Sus scrofa: one gene and its partners. The protein of the gene in region 3 interacts with the protein of the main gene of each other region in a pairwise test. Links are inferred from orthologs where the notes say so. Each region holds a gene or a part of one and is shown on either strand. Other genes may lie near its edges.

The links. The genes of interacting proteins can lie anywhere in the genome.
Region 1: the proteins of IFT20 (region 3) and WASHC3 interact in binary tests that used the Homo sapiens proteins (3 or more experiments, as listed by UniProt). The two-hybrid records come from large-scale screens. The link is inferred for Sus scrofa from reciprocal best matches to the Homo sapiens genes IFT20 and WASHC3.
Region 2: the proteins of IFT20 (region 3) and NUP54 interact in binary tests that used the Homo sapiens proteins (3 or more experiments, as listed by UniProt). The two-hybrid records come from large-scale screens. The link is inferred for Sus scrofa from reciprocal best matches to the Homo sapiens genes IFT20 and NUP54.
Region 4: the proteins of IFT20 (region 3) and EXOC7 interact in binary tests that used the Homo sapiens proteins (3 or more experiments, as listed by UniProt). The two-hybrid records come from large-scale screens. The link is inferred for Sus scrofa from reciprocal best matches to the Homo sapiens genes IFT20 and EXOC7.

What each region holds. Positions count from the first base shown.
Region 1 is NC_010447.5:82,154,062-82,158,072, reverse strand, and holds the start of WASHC3 (WASH complex subunit 3), read right to left. Parts: upstream 2,801-4,011; 5' UTR 2,695-2,800; coding exon 2,644-2,694; intron 2,333-2,643; exon of another isoform or gene 2,221-2,332; intron 2,080-2,220; coding exon 1,981-2,079; intron 1-1,980. UniProt on the Homo sapiens protein: Acts as a component of the WASH core complex that functions as a nucleation-promoting factor (NPF) at the surface of endosomes, where it recruits and activates the Arp2/3 complex to induce actin polymerization, playing a key role in the fission of tubules that serve as transport intermediates during endosome sorting.
Region 2 is NC_010450.4:71,830,372-71,834,440, forward strand, and holds the start of NUP54 (nucleoporin p54), read right to left. Parts: upstream 2,801-4,069; 5' UTR 2,697-2,800; coding exon 2,630-2,696; intron 1,974-2,629; coding exon 1,812-1,973; intron 1-1,811. UniProt on the Homo sapiens protein: Component of the nuclear pore complex, a complex required for the trafficking across the nuclear membrane.
Region 3 is NC_010454.4:44,613,884-44,618,051, forward strand, and holds the start of IFT20 (intraflagellar transport protein 20 homolog), read right to left. Parts: upstream 2,801-4,168; 5' UTR 2,650-2,800; intron 1-2,649. UniProt on the Homo sapiens protein: Part of intraflagellar transport (IFT) particles involved in ciliary process assembly. May play a role in the trafficking of ciliary membrane proteins from the Golgi complex to the cilium.
Region 4 is NC_010454.4:5,330,238-5,334,294, forward strand, and holds the start of EXOC7 (exocyst complex component 7), read left to right. Parts: upstream 1-1,257; 5' UTR 1,258-1,355; coding exon 1,356-1,415; intron 1,416-1,605; coding exon 1,606-1,671; intron 1,672-3,809; coding exon 3,810-3,994; intron 3,995-4,057. UniProt on the Homo sapiens protein: Component of the exocyst complex involved in the docking of exocytic vesicles with fusion sites on the plasma membrane.

The DNA of each region.
Region 1 (4,011 bases), on a different chromosome or scaffold from region 3:
GCAGAAGTGATTTTGATAACTAGACAAAAGAACAGCTGGAATCTTATACAGACGAAAACAGTTTTCCTGGCTCCATGCAATTTTTATTAATAACATATCTAACAAAAACTATATGCTGATTCCCTACCTTATGTTATATATAAGACATAACGAACTAAATATTGTTTAACTGACTCAGCTGTGATTATCACATTTTCCTCTTTTCTCTTTTTTTTTGGGGGGGTGGGTTTATTTGATTTTCAAAAATTAATAAGATTTTTACAATAGCTTCACAAGCACAAGTTAACAATAATTCAACTGACAAAAATTGGTATTTACTAGTTAACTTCTTGGAAACATTTTTATTGTGTCAATCAAAATGCAACTGGAATGGAGATACATCACATATTGTACAAAAAGTAGGAGAATGGCTAGGACTGGGAAGTCTCTAGGTATTCTCACGGTATTTCATGAAGCAGGCCTTGATTTTTTTTGTTTGTTTGTTTTTTTTTCAGGGATTAAACCCATGCCGCAGCAGCGCCACAAGCCAGACAGTGACAGTACCAGATCCTTAAATTGCTGTGCCCCAAGGGAACTCCAGACCTTGACTTCTTTTTTTTTTTTTTTTGTCTTTGTTGTTGTTGTTGTTGCGATTTCTTGGGCCGCTCCCGCAGCATATGGAGGTTCCCAGGCTAGGGGTTGAATCGGAACTGTAGCCACCGGCCTACGCCAGAGCCACAGCAACGCGGGATCTGAGCCGCGTCTGCAACCTACACCACAGCTCACGGCAACGCCGGATCGTTAACCCACTGAGCAAGGGCAGGGACCGAACCCGCAACCTCATGGTTCCCAGTAGGATTCGTTAACCACTGCGCCACAACGGGAACTCCCAGACCTTGACTTCTTAATGAAATCATTTTAATTTCTGTTTAAATCATCCCTAAAAGCGTATTTAGCTTTAAGTGGTCACTGAACTTTTGGAAAGTAGAATTTGCAAGCATAGAGAAATACCATGATACCAATGGGGGGGTTTTCTTTAACATTAAAGTGTATATGTGTATCCTGTTCCCAATGACAACAATCTTGACTCTTACACCTTTCAGGCAGCAACAATTCCTCTACAAGAACAGTTTCAATTCAAGGATTTGACTGGGGAGGATACTCAGTCAAAGGGTGAACAGTAACTTCAGCACTCAGGTGGTTCATGACAACAAAACGGGGCCCTAGGTTTTGACGCAATCCTCAAGAAGTAAAGAAAACTGAGCAAAAACACCATCTTTTGGTTTCAAAACATTTCCTTGTCCCCTTTCTTCCTTCTTAAACCTAATTTCAACCCATTCTCTTTTTTAGCTTTTTATAAGACAGTCGTCCCTAGATCTGGTACCTAATCTGTAACTGAGCTACTTTATCCTTACTTCATAAGTCATATGCACAAAGTATTTTATTTATTATTTTTTTTTTTTGGCCTCACCTCTGGCATAAAAAAGTTCCAGAGCCAGGGATCAAACATGAGCCACAGCAGTGACAAGGCCTGGTCCTTAACCCACTGCACCACCAGGGAACTCCGTATTTTTACTTTTATTTCCATGATGATATTTGATGCCAAAGTTACATTTCTAGGCTACCTCCTCAATCATCTTTTGGATCAAGCAATGTAAAATAATGTACACCTAAAACGTAAATCTTTGAGGTAGGAGAAACATAACCAATTTCAAAATAAAAAATGTCTTTAACTGTGAAATACAATTATTATCTTCAATTACAGTAAGCCTTAGTGAACTGCTTCACAAAAGTCTCAGAAGTTTAATTCAGCAGAGATGGGCTGCAGGAAGACGGTAATAGAACCAAAGAGGATTTAAGGTATATTAACATAATAATTGGGTGAGAAGAGGTCACGGTATATGAATACACAGACTGTAAATCTTGTTTTAGTCATTTGCTACCTTCAAAAGTGCGAGGTGATATCTGGGCTACACATTAGACCAACACCACTGGACCTACCTCCTCACAAACTGTAGAAAAGCGGTTGAGGAACTGTACAGTGTGCACCACAAATTGGTTTAGAAATGCCACCGTTCTTTTCTGTTGAATAGCTGGCACCTGTGTTGCGTAAAAATAAACATGATCCGTACAGGAGGAAGGTACACCGTGCAATCCCCTCGATATTAATAAAGGGGCGTTTCTCTGTGTGATATGAGTTACTGGAAGTTCTGCCAATAGTCATTAACTTGTTTTCCTAACCTGTGGGGGTGGGGTGTTCAAAGATGACAGATGCTGCAAAGTTTGAGAAAGGGCTCTGGATTCACAAGAGCGAACTTCCGCAGGTATAGGCAACACGTAAACACACGAAAACCTTAAGGGCCGAATAAAAGAGGTAGGGTTAGAAATCGGAACTGGCCCGTGTCGCCAGTGGTTCACCCTTGAGGACAGGGACTCGTGACCTGGGAAGCGAAGCCTGGGAGAGGTACACTACACTGCCCCCGCCCTTCCTTACCTCAGGAGGGACCTCTTTAAAGGGCAAACTATGGGACTCTCCCTCCGGAGAGAGATGAGACAGGCCTAGGACAGCGTTGGGCTTAGAGAGATGTGGTCTCCCTGGGAACCCGGCGTCCCTTCCCCATCCTCCTCCCAGGTCACCTGAGTTCAACTCCATCTTTTACAAACCTTAGTCAGGTCTATGCCTGACCCCATGAGAGGAAGCCCATCCTCATCCATCTCCTCAGCGGGCACGGGACACAGGGTTCACCCACACACCCCTCCCCGACCAGGCCAGCCCAACCCGGTAATAGCTTACGAACACCTCCCCCCAGTCCCCGCCTCCCGGGTTCTTCCCGCCGGAAGGAAACGCCTCCTCTCGCCAATCACTCGGCGGCTTCCGGAGAGCCCACCCCTTCGCAAGGCATTCTGGGATTGGTAGTTTTAGTTCCGGATTGTGACGTCGGACGAAGAGCGCCGAGTCTAGAAAGGGTGAAATTCTCTTCTCGCAAGATTTTAAAAATGGGGCGGGGAAAAGTAAAGCATCCCGACTGTTTGAGGTTATCCCTCTGCTTAGTGTTGTCTCTCGTATAAGGCAGCTGAGGCATTCGTTAATAAAATATATATATAGTTTGTTTTTGTTGTTATTTTTAACATACTAAGTGCCAGATTGGCCCCTGGGCCCTAATTTAATCAGGTTGAGTATATGTATCTATAGAACTATAAAAATATTAACTTATCTAAAATTGGCCAATTAACAGAAATTCTCCAAAGTGGTTTGGTTTCTTAAAAAAAGAAAAGACAAGTATAATTCTGTGAGATATAATTCTAGTTAACGGAAGAGTGGGACTTTCTCATTGCCTCCTAGGATTCTTGATGATACTCTTCATCACTCTTCCATAGCTCCTGAAGGCAGTGCCACTCACAACATAATAACTGAATTTCCAGGGCTGTTAAAAACAATCTATAGCTAGAAGTCTTGGTCATCTTCCTGAAATCCTCTGAAATACCCGTGTCCTTTCTCCAGGCTTTCTCTCATTGGAAATGGATTACCAGATTTCAATTACTGTAGTGCATTTTGGAGACAAAAGAAGTAAATTGTAACGAATACTGATTTAAAAAGGCAGAGTCCATGAATCCCACCTGCATATAACATATCTGTTAAATTAAAAGGTCTTAAAGCATTTTTCAGTAGTTATGTTTTCAGGAGTTCCCATCGTGGTGCAGTGGAAACGAATCTGGAACTAGGAACCATGGGGTTGTGGGTTCGATCCTCGCTCAGTGGCTTAAGGATCCAGTGTTGCTGTGAGCTGTGGTGTAGGTCACAGATGTGCTTTGGGTCTGGTGTTGCTGTGGCTGTGGGTGTAGGCTGGCAGCTGTAGCTCTGATTAGACCCCTAGCCTGGGAACCTCCATATGCCGCAAGTGTGGCCCTAAAAAGCAAAAACAAAAATAATAGTTATATTTTCAGAGCCTGTAACTAGAAAATCACTTATTTAATTTCTTCATGAATTGGTTCTTAGGTGAGGGAAATCATTAGCATTGAGTTCCTATTTTT
Region 2 (4,069 bases), on a different chromosome or scaffold from region 3:
ACAAATGTTTGAACCATTAGTGCTCCCTGAGTTATGCCACAGACTTCTGGGATTCTAACCTTTAATCTCATGTATTTCTGGCATAAGAGACAGATTTGTCAATATTGTAACACAAAATATAAGAAGGAAAATGAAGACTCAACCCATTGGTGGTAATCACATAATTCTGTCTTAGAAAATTATTCAAGAATAGACTACATGTTGCATGCAGGCACAACCAAATATTCTACTACTTGTAGGTTCTACTGCAATACTACAAATTGTAAACAATTTGATAAGTACCACCTAACATACTGAACATTGTTCCTAATCTTTTTCATTACTTATAAATTTCATAGAAAAACTAAGATATATTCTGAATTGGCTATGCAATAAAAACATTAGTAACTATCCTAACATACTCCTAATACGAAAAATGTTTATTAGTAATAATGGATCTGCAAGGATAAAAAAAAGTAAACAAGAATGTCTATCAGTCCTATTGCTGAAGACTAAGTTAATGTACATAAAAGTCGTTAAAACACAGTTATATTATCGCAACTCAGAACTGAACAGTAATAACTCCAAATGAACATGAAATCAAGCAAATACCAAAGGTTTATTTATTGTTGAATCAAGAGCTGGGTAGGTTTGTTTGGAAACATAAATTTCAAAACAATGTTTCTCTTTTACCCAGTGCCAATTTTAAGCAAAGAGGGGAAAGTAAACATACCAAACAACAGTGATGTGTGATCATTTTAAATATACCTTAATGATAATGGATTATTTCATCTTTGGAATTTTCAAGTATCCTTCAAAACTTTTTCAAATTGAATGCAAATTGCAAAAAAAAAAAAAAGTGATTGCACAAAATGCCAAATTTCTCAAATAAGTCTCATGGAAAAGACATGTTTACCAAATGCATATAATTGGCATGGGCATACACAGTGGAATGTAAGAGAATATGGACAATAAATTCATATACGAGCAGCTGAGGAACAAGACTTTTTCTATAGGGTCACTGTAGGCGAGGTACACATACCTGTTTTAAATTTATGTATATAAATAAATATACACACACAGAGAATAGTTTGTATTTTGCACAATTTGCAATGAGCTTCAAACAATCCATATAGTTACCAAAATCTTCATAATTAGCTTTTTGAGTGCAAAGATGTCTAGCCTACCTTTTAGAACTCAATGTTATCTGACAAATTAAGATACTCTCTGATCACTTCTCAAAAAATCCACTTAAGACTTGGAGGTTCTTTCAATAATTACATTATCTTATAGAAATGTATCCTCATCTGCTTAGTTGACCAAAAAAATAATTATTGTTACACAGGTTAAAAAACAAGACAGGTTGCTGCTGTTCGTATAAGACTTGTTTCTCTCAGGAAACACAAAGACAATCAAATGAAATTCCAATGAAAGGTGCAGGAAAAGTGGAGAAAAAAACGACCGCAGAAGTCCAAGAATTTCAGGAAAATGGGTCTGACTGTTGATCTTATACTTTAAAAGAGATATCTAATAATTTGGAAGATGTATTCTATTCCCAATAATAACGTACTCCAAATTCTTATCACTTGGAAGGTACAGTCTGTTCAATTAAATGCAAATTTAACAGACGAAGATAATAACTTGAAAGGTTTCTCAAAATCAAATCTTTTTAAGAGTCAAAACTTGATACAAATGTTTTTAAATCGACATTAGGAAACTAATTTCCTTTCCTTATTAGACAAGTCACTGTTCTTTCCCAAACTCTAGCAACTACAAAATATTCTTGGACTCCAGCTCCCAACATTCGTTACACAGACGGCCCGCATATCTACCTGCACTTGCCAGACTGTTACCAAAATTGAAAGGAGTCGCCGAAGTAGTAGAAACACCGAAATTCCCAATATTAAAGTTCACTGCAGGATTAGCAGTTAATCCGAAACCCCCAAAATTAAACCCACTGGCGGTGGAGTTGGCAGTCTCAAGCCCACCAAATCCTGATAGGCGTGTAGGCAAAGAAAATTTTAAAAGGGGAGAGGGGAAAGAAGGAAGAAGAAAAAGAAAAGAAAGCAAGATAAGGATTAGAAGAGTCAGCAGGAGGTTTCACAGAGTGAACAAAGACAAACCCTGACTTGGCTCCAAACGAATTAAGAAAGCGGAGGAGGCGGGGCAGGAGAAGGAGCAGGTACGTGCAGTCCCGCAGCAAGAGCCAGAGGGGCCAGGGCCGAGGGAGCCGCAGAGCAGCCCGGAGGTTCTCCAGCGCTACCCTCGCCGCCCAGCAGCGGGAAGCACCCGAGCGCGCCCGCCGGTCCCGGAGCCCGGGAAGGGGAGGGGATGAGAGGGCGGGCCCGGCAAAGGGAGCGAGGAGCCGCCTCCAGCCTCTTGGAATCCGTCTCCCCGGTGGCGGGAAGCGAGCGCTAGAAGGGGTGGGCCATGCGGGGACCCACCCGATGCACGCGAGCTCCCAGCTGGGCCTCTATCCCCCGCGTGGCCTCCTCAGGAGCCGTCTCGGCCCGCTCGGCCGCCGCCTGCCTTTTCCAAAGCCCCTAAAATCTGCGCGCGGGCAGGAGACCCCAGGTTCCCCCAAGCTCAAGAGTCTCGGACCCAAGGCCTCCCCTTTTCCCCGGGAGAAGGTCTGGGGGGAATGACTCACCCGCGGGGGCTGCGGTGGCTGCAGCGGTACCTGAGCTGCCCGAGGGAGCCGCAAAGTTGAAAGCCATGTCGCGGGAGCAGGGGACCAAGGTGCTGCTGCGGGCCTGCTCCCGCGACACTTGGTGCGCTTGGCTTTTCGATCCGGCAGGGAAACCGCGCCAGGAGTACGGAGTTCCGCCCCTTTCTGACCCAGCCTAAGAGGCCGGAACGTTCGAAAAGCGTAGGGGGCGGAGGATGGAGAGGGAACGCCCCTGGCTGGCTAGCTTCCGGGACCTGGCGGCTCCACGCGGCGTGGGGCGTCACAACCAGCGTGACACGCTGGAAAGCTCACCCCGGCGTGCGGCCCGAGGACTCTTGGAGAAGATGCGCAAAAGGCTGACTACAAGTGTGCAATGAAGGCAGGGTAGCAGAGAAAGCTAAATCCTCGTTCTTCCCAGTGGAGAGTCAGTGGTTATCAAAACTGAAAACTCACGAAACAGCTTGTTTGTCACTTAGAGCCGTGGGGTAGTAGTGGGAAAAAAAAAAAAAAAACAGGCTAAAAGTGCCTCTGAGAATGATATCCAAGTAGCTTTGGGTGTTTCTGTTTCGTTTTGTTTTAGAATTCTTAGTAGAAACTTTGTAGAATTATTTGATTCTTCTATTTATATGCTTGTATAACTTTAATAAAAATAAAAACAAACCATTGTGTCTATCAAAATCATAGTTGTCCTTGGATCTAGCAATGCTGTTTCTAGGAATTGATCTTGTAAATGATTTGGCAAAATTAGTGGCCTGCAAGGTTACCTGTTCCAGCATTTTTTATAACAAATGATTCGAAACAAACCTCAGTTTGCTTAAATAGTTGCATTCATACAAAGGAATACTATTCAGCTATGCAGTGGGAACACTCAAGCTCTTCAGGTACAGAAAAGAAAGATCTTAAAAGTAAATGATACAAACACAATTTAGAGCACAGTACATGGTATTCTACAATTTGGGAAAAAAGGAGGGCCTGAATATATAATTACCCACATTCATATACAATATTCCTGGAAAGATACATTTTAAAAATGAATAGCAGTGGTTGCCTCTGTTTTTGTTTTTTGTCTTTTCTAAGGTGGCACCCGAGGCATATGGAGGTTCCCAGGCTAGGGGTCCAATCGGAGCTATTGCTGCTGGCCTACACCTGAGCCACAGCAACACCAGATCCAAGCCACGTCTGTGACCTACACCACAGCTCACGGCAACTCCGGATCCTTAACTCACTGAGAGAGGCCAGGGATGGAACCCTGCAACCTCATGGTTCCTAGTCGGATTCATTAACCACTGAGCCATGACGGGAACTCCAGCTTTGGTTGCCTCTGAAAAGATGAATTGGGTGGCAAGGAGATGGATGAAGACTCTGCAGTATAAACACCTCTTATAGTTTTTGAAAATGTAAATGGTTTACCTAACAAAAAAA
Region 3 (4,168 bases):
TCTGGGTAGGAAACACTGATTTCCTTCTAATTCAAAAAGTTTAAGTAAGGGAGGGAAAAACACATCCAACACCGTGTGGTCCAACTTATACGCGTCTGGCTGTACACGACTGTGGTCCAGAGCCTTTAGCCTCACTGGAATCCACTCAAGTAAGTAAGCTAGCATCTTCCCTTTAAAACATTTTAATCATCCAAAGCTTCCTTATAATTGGGCTTTTTAAAAAGCACTGTCACCTTTTTTTTTGTCTTTTTGCCTTTTCTAGGGCCACTCCCGCGGCATATGGAAGTTCCCAGGATAGGGGTCCAATCGGAGCTGTATCTGCTGGCCTACACAAGAGCCATAGCAACGCAGGATCTGAGCCACATCTGCAACCTACACCACAGCTCACAGCAATGCTGGATCCTTAACCCACTGAGCAAGGCCAGGGATCGAACCCTCAACCTCATGGTTCCTAGTCGGATTCGTTAACCACTGCGCCACGACAGGAATTCCATTAGGAACTGTAAACTTATCTTAAATATGTAACAAAAGATGTTAGAATAGGAAGCTCAGTTTTGCTTAGACCACAACACAAGTCAAGGTCTGGTGAAAGGCGCTGAGAGAAGCACATTAAAAAAATAAATAAAAATAAAAAGAACTGTCTCCCCATTTGTCCTAGTTACACATATAGTCTGAACACTAACACCTAACAGGTGATTTACCAGACCAGCTGCTCTAGAAAGCTTCAAGTAATCTGCGCGCACAAAGGTGCTTCCACTTCCACTCCCTTCTAAGAGCGTGGATTTATTCACAAACATCTACTGAGTCCCTGCTCTGGGGATAAAGGAGTGAAGAAAATGCCTTAATTCTTTAGTTTCTGACCTCTGGACAGACGGTCCAATCACAAACTGTGATCATGGTATGAGGAAAAGCACATGTTGCTATGTGAAGCCATAGCAGGAGGACATAATTCATATGTAAACAAAATTACATAAAAATTTATACACAAAATTCTTCTAAAATGTGACATTTGGGAGTTCCTGTTGTGGCTCAGCGGGTTAAGAACCTGACGTTGTCTCTGTGAGGTTGCAGGTTCGACCCCTGGCCTTGCTCAGTGAGTTAAGGATCCCCAGCAATGGGATCACAGATGCAGCCTGGATCCCATGTTGCCATGGCTGCAGGCATAGGCCTCAGCTGCAGCTCGGATTCCACCCCTAGCTCTGGGAACTTCCATATGTCACAGGTGCAGCCATAGAAAGAAAAGAAGTGACACTTAAAATGAGACCTAAAGGATGTTCAAAAGCTTGCCAACTGAAGCAAGGAGGAGGTATTCCAGGCAGAAGGGAAAGCTTGTGTGAAGACTGGAAGACTCTGAGGCTGTAAAAAATTTAACGTGTTCCACAAGCTGAAAGGCTAGTATGGTTGAAACACTGAGCAAGGGGGAGAGAATGAGATGGGGCAAGATGGGGAGGCTAGCACTGGATGATGAAGGGCTCTGAAAGCTGCGGTATTGAGCCTACATTTTCTCATAAAGGTAGCCAGAGGATTCTAAGCAGACTGGCATCATCAAATGTGGCTATTTTGGAGATCAATGACCCAGGATGGAGAACGAGCTGGGGGGGAAAAGAGATGGGGCTACTCCTATTTGTTCATCACTGCTACCCTAGCATCTAGCATAGTGCCTGCATAGAACTTGCACTCAGCAAATGTTTGTGGTATGAATGACTGCTAAAACAGAGCAGGCTAGGAGTTCCCATTGTGGCGCAGCAGAAACCAATCTGACTAGGAACCATGAGGTTGAGGGTTAGATCCCTGGCCCCTCTCATTGGGTTAAGGATCCCACGTGTTGAGGTGAGCTGTGGTGTAGGTGGCAGATCCGATCTGGTGTGGCTGTGGTGTAGGCCGGCAGCTGTAGCTTCGATTCAGCCCCTAGCCTGGGAATCTCCATATGCGGCGAGTGCGGCCCTAAAAAGAGGCAAGAAAAACAAAAACACCAGAGCAGGCTATTACAGTAACCAAGGCTTGGAGCTGAAGGAAAGTGTTCCGAATTGTTTGGTAAAGTCGAGTTGATAGGACTTAGTAAAGGATGAATGAAAGTAGGGGTTTGGAGAGGAGTGAAGGAGAGTCAGGTAAGATTCCCATGCATCTGGCTTGAGCCAGATGTATGGTTGGAAGGGATGGTTGAATGAGATGGATCGGGCCTGAAGAAGTGGAGAGAGAGGGTTCGCAGCCGACTACCGGATTCTCTCCCAACTCCCACCGCACGCTCATCTGAGGAACACTGGGTATAAAGGCCGAATTGAGTTCCCTGAAGATGAGAAGGACGTCGCGCTCTCGTCCCCCCACCATCCCCACCACCACCCTGGCTCTGGCTCTACGCTGGCCGCTACCTCCACCCGCGCGGTGTGGAGAAAGTTAGGAAAAGCTGGGTGATGGGGCTGGTTGTCTTCACTACGTAAACTCCTTGAACTTATCTGAGCCGCAGTTTCCTCCTAGGAGGGTTGCGAGCGTCAGAGCGAAAAGCTCGAGGCCCAAGCCCGGGTAAAACCGCTCCCAGAGTCGGGAGGAATTCCCACATTTCTTTCGCCCTGGGACTGCTTTTCCTCGGGGCGCGGGCCTGTCAGGCTCTTCCTGCCCCGGGCCCATCCCCGACCCGAAGTCACAGCCTACCTGTCCACCCCGCAGCGGCAGCGCCTGCGGCTCAGGCTGAGGTCCGCAGGCAACTCCCCTCTCGCGTCAGGGCAGCCGGTACCCAGCCAGCCAGCTTGCCTCAGCCGCTGCCACGGCTACAAGACCTGTTTACGCCTAACGTCACTTCCGGGCACAGGAAGCACTTACACCCATCCAGCTGGCAGAGCATGCTGGGAGACAGAGGCCTGGGAAGAGGGATGGCTGCCTACAAGACCCAGAGGTCTTTGCGCCGGAAAGTCGGCCTGAAGTAGGTGTACGCTCGCTGCGGAATACTCTTGGGGGCTCCTCCCTCCGCCCTGATTGGGTGCTATGTCTGCCCGGCCTCACAGTCTCAGGCCCTGGCCGCCTGGGGGCGGAGTCCGGGGGTGGTGAATGTGAGTTTACCGCCCGAGATTGCTGGCGGGCAAGCGGTGGTCTAGGGGCGGCGCGGTGTCGACTTGCAACCCAGCTGAGAGGAGAAGCGCCACCAGGGAGGGTGAGAGCCGAGTCTGCCCATGCCCTAGGGGAAGGGATGGACGGGTCCTGGGCTGAGCCAAGAGAACCCTACCCGGTCCTGGGGAAAAGGCGTGGGACGGCGAAGGGAGGTGGAGATCTCAAATCCTTTGGGTGGGTGTTAGAGCCGGTCTCGGTTTCTCGGTGGTGAGGCGGGGTACGGGTTGAGGAAGACTCTACAGTGGCCACAGAGAGGTTGAGTCTCGCTAAATTTCCCCAAACCCTTTGGCTGAAGCATGAGATTTACACGCTTGGATTTACACCCTTGGATTTCTGCTAGATTCCCCCCTCTGTAGGGGATCGGCTCCTCCTCTCGCCATGCTCCGTGTGATGGGTTTCTCGGACCTTCTTTCCTTAGGACCCCACTTCTATCACCGCCTTGTTTGTTTGGCCTTTATTCGGCTTGGGTTCCCATTAGCTTCACCGAGCGTGACACGGATACGCCCCTAGCATCCCCAAATACCCACACACAAAGTCCGGAAGGAAGAGCACTGAGGCTCTCAGTGGAAACTTCATTCTCACTGGAATTACTTTCTGGGGCGTCACCTGCCACAGGATTCCAGGAACCCATTGGCCTGGGCGGAATCTGAGCGGGTGGAATCTGGGCTGATGTCATCCATGGGCTCAAAGCAATTGCTTTGTAGGAAAAAGAAGAGATTAGCTTGGATTTGTCTTCCTCTGTTGGCAGCCGCTGTTAAGGGGTGGATTTATTCCTTTGGGGTGGGCGGAGGAAGGTAAGGTGACCTCATACCATTCAGGTTTACTTACTGATTGGGCAATCCGCTGGTGGGGGCTCATCTCATCCCTACTGAACCAGCCACCAGAGGAATTCGGCATTTCATACAGCACCTGCTCTGGCGCTTCCTTGGACTCTCTTCACAGGGACCTACCTAAATCTTTTCAGGGACAATTTCAGTCTAACACACTGACATATTAAATACTTCAGAATGTGCATAGCATTCTGCTAAGCACATTTCTGGGTTAGACTTAGAGGAGATGATGATGA
Region 4 (4,057 bases), about 39 Mb from region 3:
CTCTTGCTTCCTCCCTATCCCCCACCCCCCAGAAAGAGCATCCCTGAGAGTTGGGCAGTTGGGGCCTCTAGGCGACCCTCACATTTGTGCTCTGAACAAGTTTGGGAATGAAAGCCAAGCAACCGAGGCTGCAGCTGAAACACCGCTTTCTCCTTTGGCTGAAGCAGCTTGTGCTGAGTATAGTTAGGGAATCACAGCTTTTACCAAATCAGTGTCCACTGCCAACAGCATGTGCCTGACATTGGGCTGGGAATCACCGAAACTGGTCTTTTCATTCTTTTATTTATTTATTTAATTTTTCTTCTTTTGGTCTTTTTAGGGCCGCACCCACAGTATATGGAGGTTCCCAGGCTCGGGGTCGGGGACAGAGTGCTCACCCATGGCCCCAACAGCATCTGAAACCATAATCCTGACTTGTGAGCCACCCAGCCCGGCCAGGGTGTCTGCTTTGGAGAGGGCTGTGTGGTTTTACTGGCGGGGTTGGTGAGGACCAGGCTGTGGGTAGAGAACTATAAGTCTGCAAACAGTGCAAGGCGAAGCCTGAGAGATCTGAGACCTGTCTAAGGGCTTGGGGCCCAGGGTGGTGGTGTCCTTAGGGAGAGACTGAGGCATGCATGCATTCAGACACACGGGGAGCATTTCTCACGGGCCTTGGAGGAAATCAGAAAGCCTTGGTTCCTGCGGCTGCCGGAATGTCTCAACTCCTTGGCGGGGTCTCCTCTAAATACAGCTTGGGGGCGTGGCCGGGGGTGGGGTTGGGAGAGGGTAGGGGACTGGTTCAAGGTTACTGCAGGTACGTATGCTCTGGATCCACTGCAAAACCTAGTTACTTGCACACTGGGCCTGTTCCGTGAGCTTTTAGGGCCAAAGAGGGACACTACACAGGTCCTTGGTTCATTAAATGGGCACAATTGGGTATCTAGTGTGTGACAAGCTCTGTGCTGCGTTTTGTGGGAAAGGCGACATTGGTGCCTGGATTCAGACTTCGATCTGGAGAAAGGAGTTCGTCATTGATTTTGTGAAAGGCGTAAACCTTCCCCCGAAGACGGCCAAGTGAGCTGTTACTGTTCTGCCAGCGACAGGACAAAACACCACCCAAGAACCTTCTCTGATGAGAACAGCAATCCCTTCACCTAGGAGAATCCAGGCCACACCTCCCTGCCACACTCAAGATGGCCACTCCAGACCGCTGTACTGAGTTCTACGCAGGCGCACTTCCACCTGCCACTCCCAATATGGCACCACTAGCGCGCCCCGGGGCGGGGCCACGGGCGGAAGTAGGTGTGACAGGAACGGGAGCCGAGAGGGTCAGCTGGGACGAGGTACTGGGCAGTGGGAGTCGCAGAGTCGAAGCCATGATCCCCCCGCAGGAGGCGTCCGCCCGGCGGCGGGAGATCGAGGACAAGCTGAAGCAGGTGGGGCTGGCACTGGGAGGCGGGGGAGGGGAAGGGGCCGAGATCCGGGCCAGGCATCCACTCAGGGAGGCGTCAGGAGTGGGAAGGGGACACTCCCTGCCAGGAGACTGAGTAGGGGGCGAGACCACGGGAGCGGTGAGCTCCTTTAGCCTCCGGCTTCTGGTGATGTCCTCCTTTGCGCTCCCCCCAGGAGGAGGAGACGCTGTCCTTCATCCGAGACAGTCTGGAGAAGAGCGACCAGCTCACCAAGAACATGGTGAGTAACCCCTCCTCAGCTGGGGGGGCTTCCAGGCGCTGGAGGAGACCCTGCGACCCGGTCGTGCCTGGACCTAAGGGCTGGGGTTCTGGTCTGGGTAGTGACAGCCGTGACGCGTGGGTTTCTCCCGCAGCAGTGTGGCACGTCTCTTACCCCTTGTCAGCCCCTTGGCCTCAGATGCTGCAGTCCCCGCTGGCCTGGACTTTCTGATCTCTGCCTAAGTTCTCCATGCTTCCTTCTCTCCTCTGCAAACACTTAGTGAGACTGACCTAAGTGGGTTGGATGCTGGCCATGTGTCACCCTCAATTCAAGTGAGGGTAGGATGGCCAGGTTACCACTTCTTTTTTTTTTTTTTTGTCTTTTGTCTTTTTGTTTTTGTTGTTGTTGTTGTTATTGTTGCTATTTCTTGGGCCGCTCCCGCGGCATATGGAGGTTCCCAGGCTAGGGGTCCAATCGCAGCTGTAGCCACCGGCCTACGCCAGAGCCACAGCAACGCGGGATCCGAGCCGCGTCTGCAACCTACACCACAGCTCACGGCAACGCCGGATCGTTAACCCACTGAGCAAGGGCAGGGACCGAACCCGCAACCTCCTGGTTCTTAGTCGGATTCGTTAACCACTGCGCCACGACGGGAACTCCATTTTTTTTTTTTTTTAACGCAGTGAATTTTATTACGTTTATAGTTGTACAACGATCATCACAACCAAATTTTATAGCATTTCCATCCCAAACCCCCAGCCCATCCCTCCACCCCCAACCTGTCTCCTTTGGCAACCGTAAGTTTTTCCAAGTCTGCGAGTCAGCATCTGTTCTGCAAAGAAGTTCATTGTGTGCTTTTTTTAGATTCCACACATAAGTGAGAGCATTTGATGTGGGTGTCTCACTGTCTGACTCACTTCACGTAGCATGATCATTTCTAGGTCCATCCATGTTGTTGCAAATGCCGTTCTTTCTTTCCTTTTAACGGCTGAGTAATATTCCATGGTGTATATGTACCACATCTTCGTTATCCACTCCTCTGTCCATGGACATTTAGGTTGTTTCCATGTCTTGGTTATTGTGTATAGTGCTGCAGTGCACATTGGAGTACAAGTATCTTTTCGAGTCATGGTTTTCTCTGGATAGATGCCCAGGAGTGGCAGGTTACCCCTTCTGAGATTACTGACTCACCTTTCACTCCAGAGGGCTTGAGGGGTAAAATGAGCTCTGAAGTCAGATCTGGGATCTAGTCCTTGCCCCTCCACTTGTCCGCGTATAGCTTGCTGACAGGTAACTCTGATCCTCAGTTAACTTGTCAGCTGAAACAGAGATGATGCCAGCCTCCCATAGCTCTGAAGGTCACAGAAGCTAGTGCAAAGGGACGTGTCAATAAGTATGAGTTTCTTCCTTATTCCTAGAGGAGACTGGAAAAACATAGGCTGTTTAGTAACACAGTCAGCAACTGCTAGTTCTTTCTTTTTTTCTTTTTGTCTTTTCTAGGGCCGCTCCTGTGGCACATGGAGGTTCCCAGGCTAGGGGTCGAATCGGAGCTGCAGCTGCTGGCCTACCCACAGCCACAGCCACAGCCACACCAGATCCCAGCCTCATCTGCGACCTACACCGCAGCTCATGGCAACGCCGGATCCTTAACCCACTGAGCAAGGCAGGGACCGAACCCGCAACCTCATGGTTCCTAGTCAGATTCGTTAACCACTGCGCCATCACGGGAACTCCTGCTAGTTCTTATTTAATGAGATTCACCCTTAGAAAGGGTTAGGAAGGTACCAGCAATGCATTTGAGGCTACTCTGTATGAAACTACTTCCTGTTCAGTCTAGAACGCTCCAGAGAGAATAGAAATTGAGCTTTGGCTTCGGAGGGTGGACGAGAAGCATTCTGAAGTGATTATCTGCGGAGGAATTAATTTCATGCCTGGCTTGCCTTCACATTAATTGATGTGGGCTACCTCCTGTGTGCCGGGCACGCGGTAGCTGCTGGGGATTCAGTGGGGAAGAGATGTCCCCCGTCCCTTCCCTCATGGGCCTGGTTGTCTAGAAAACCGTAGAAAAAGGCAGCAAATGCCAAAGACCCGGTGGGTGGCAGAAGCGGCTTGGGGACCACCCGGCGGTCTGCGAGCACGGGGCTGCCCTCCCCCTGCAGGTGTCTATCCTGTCGTCCTTTGAGAGTCGCCTCATGAAGCTGGAGAATTCCATCATCCCCGTGCACAAACAGACGGAGAACCTGCAGCGGCTGCAGGAGAATGTTGAGAAGACGCTGTCCTGTCTGGACCACGTCATTAGCTACTACCATGTGGCCAGTGACACTGAGAGGATCATCAGGGAGGGGTGAGCCAGGGCCGGAGGGTCACCTGCCTAACGCCTCCGGGCCAGCCACCCCAGGCCTTGGAA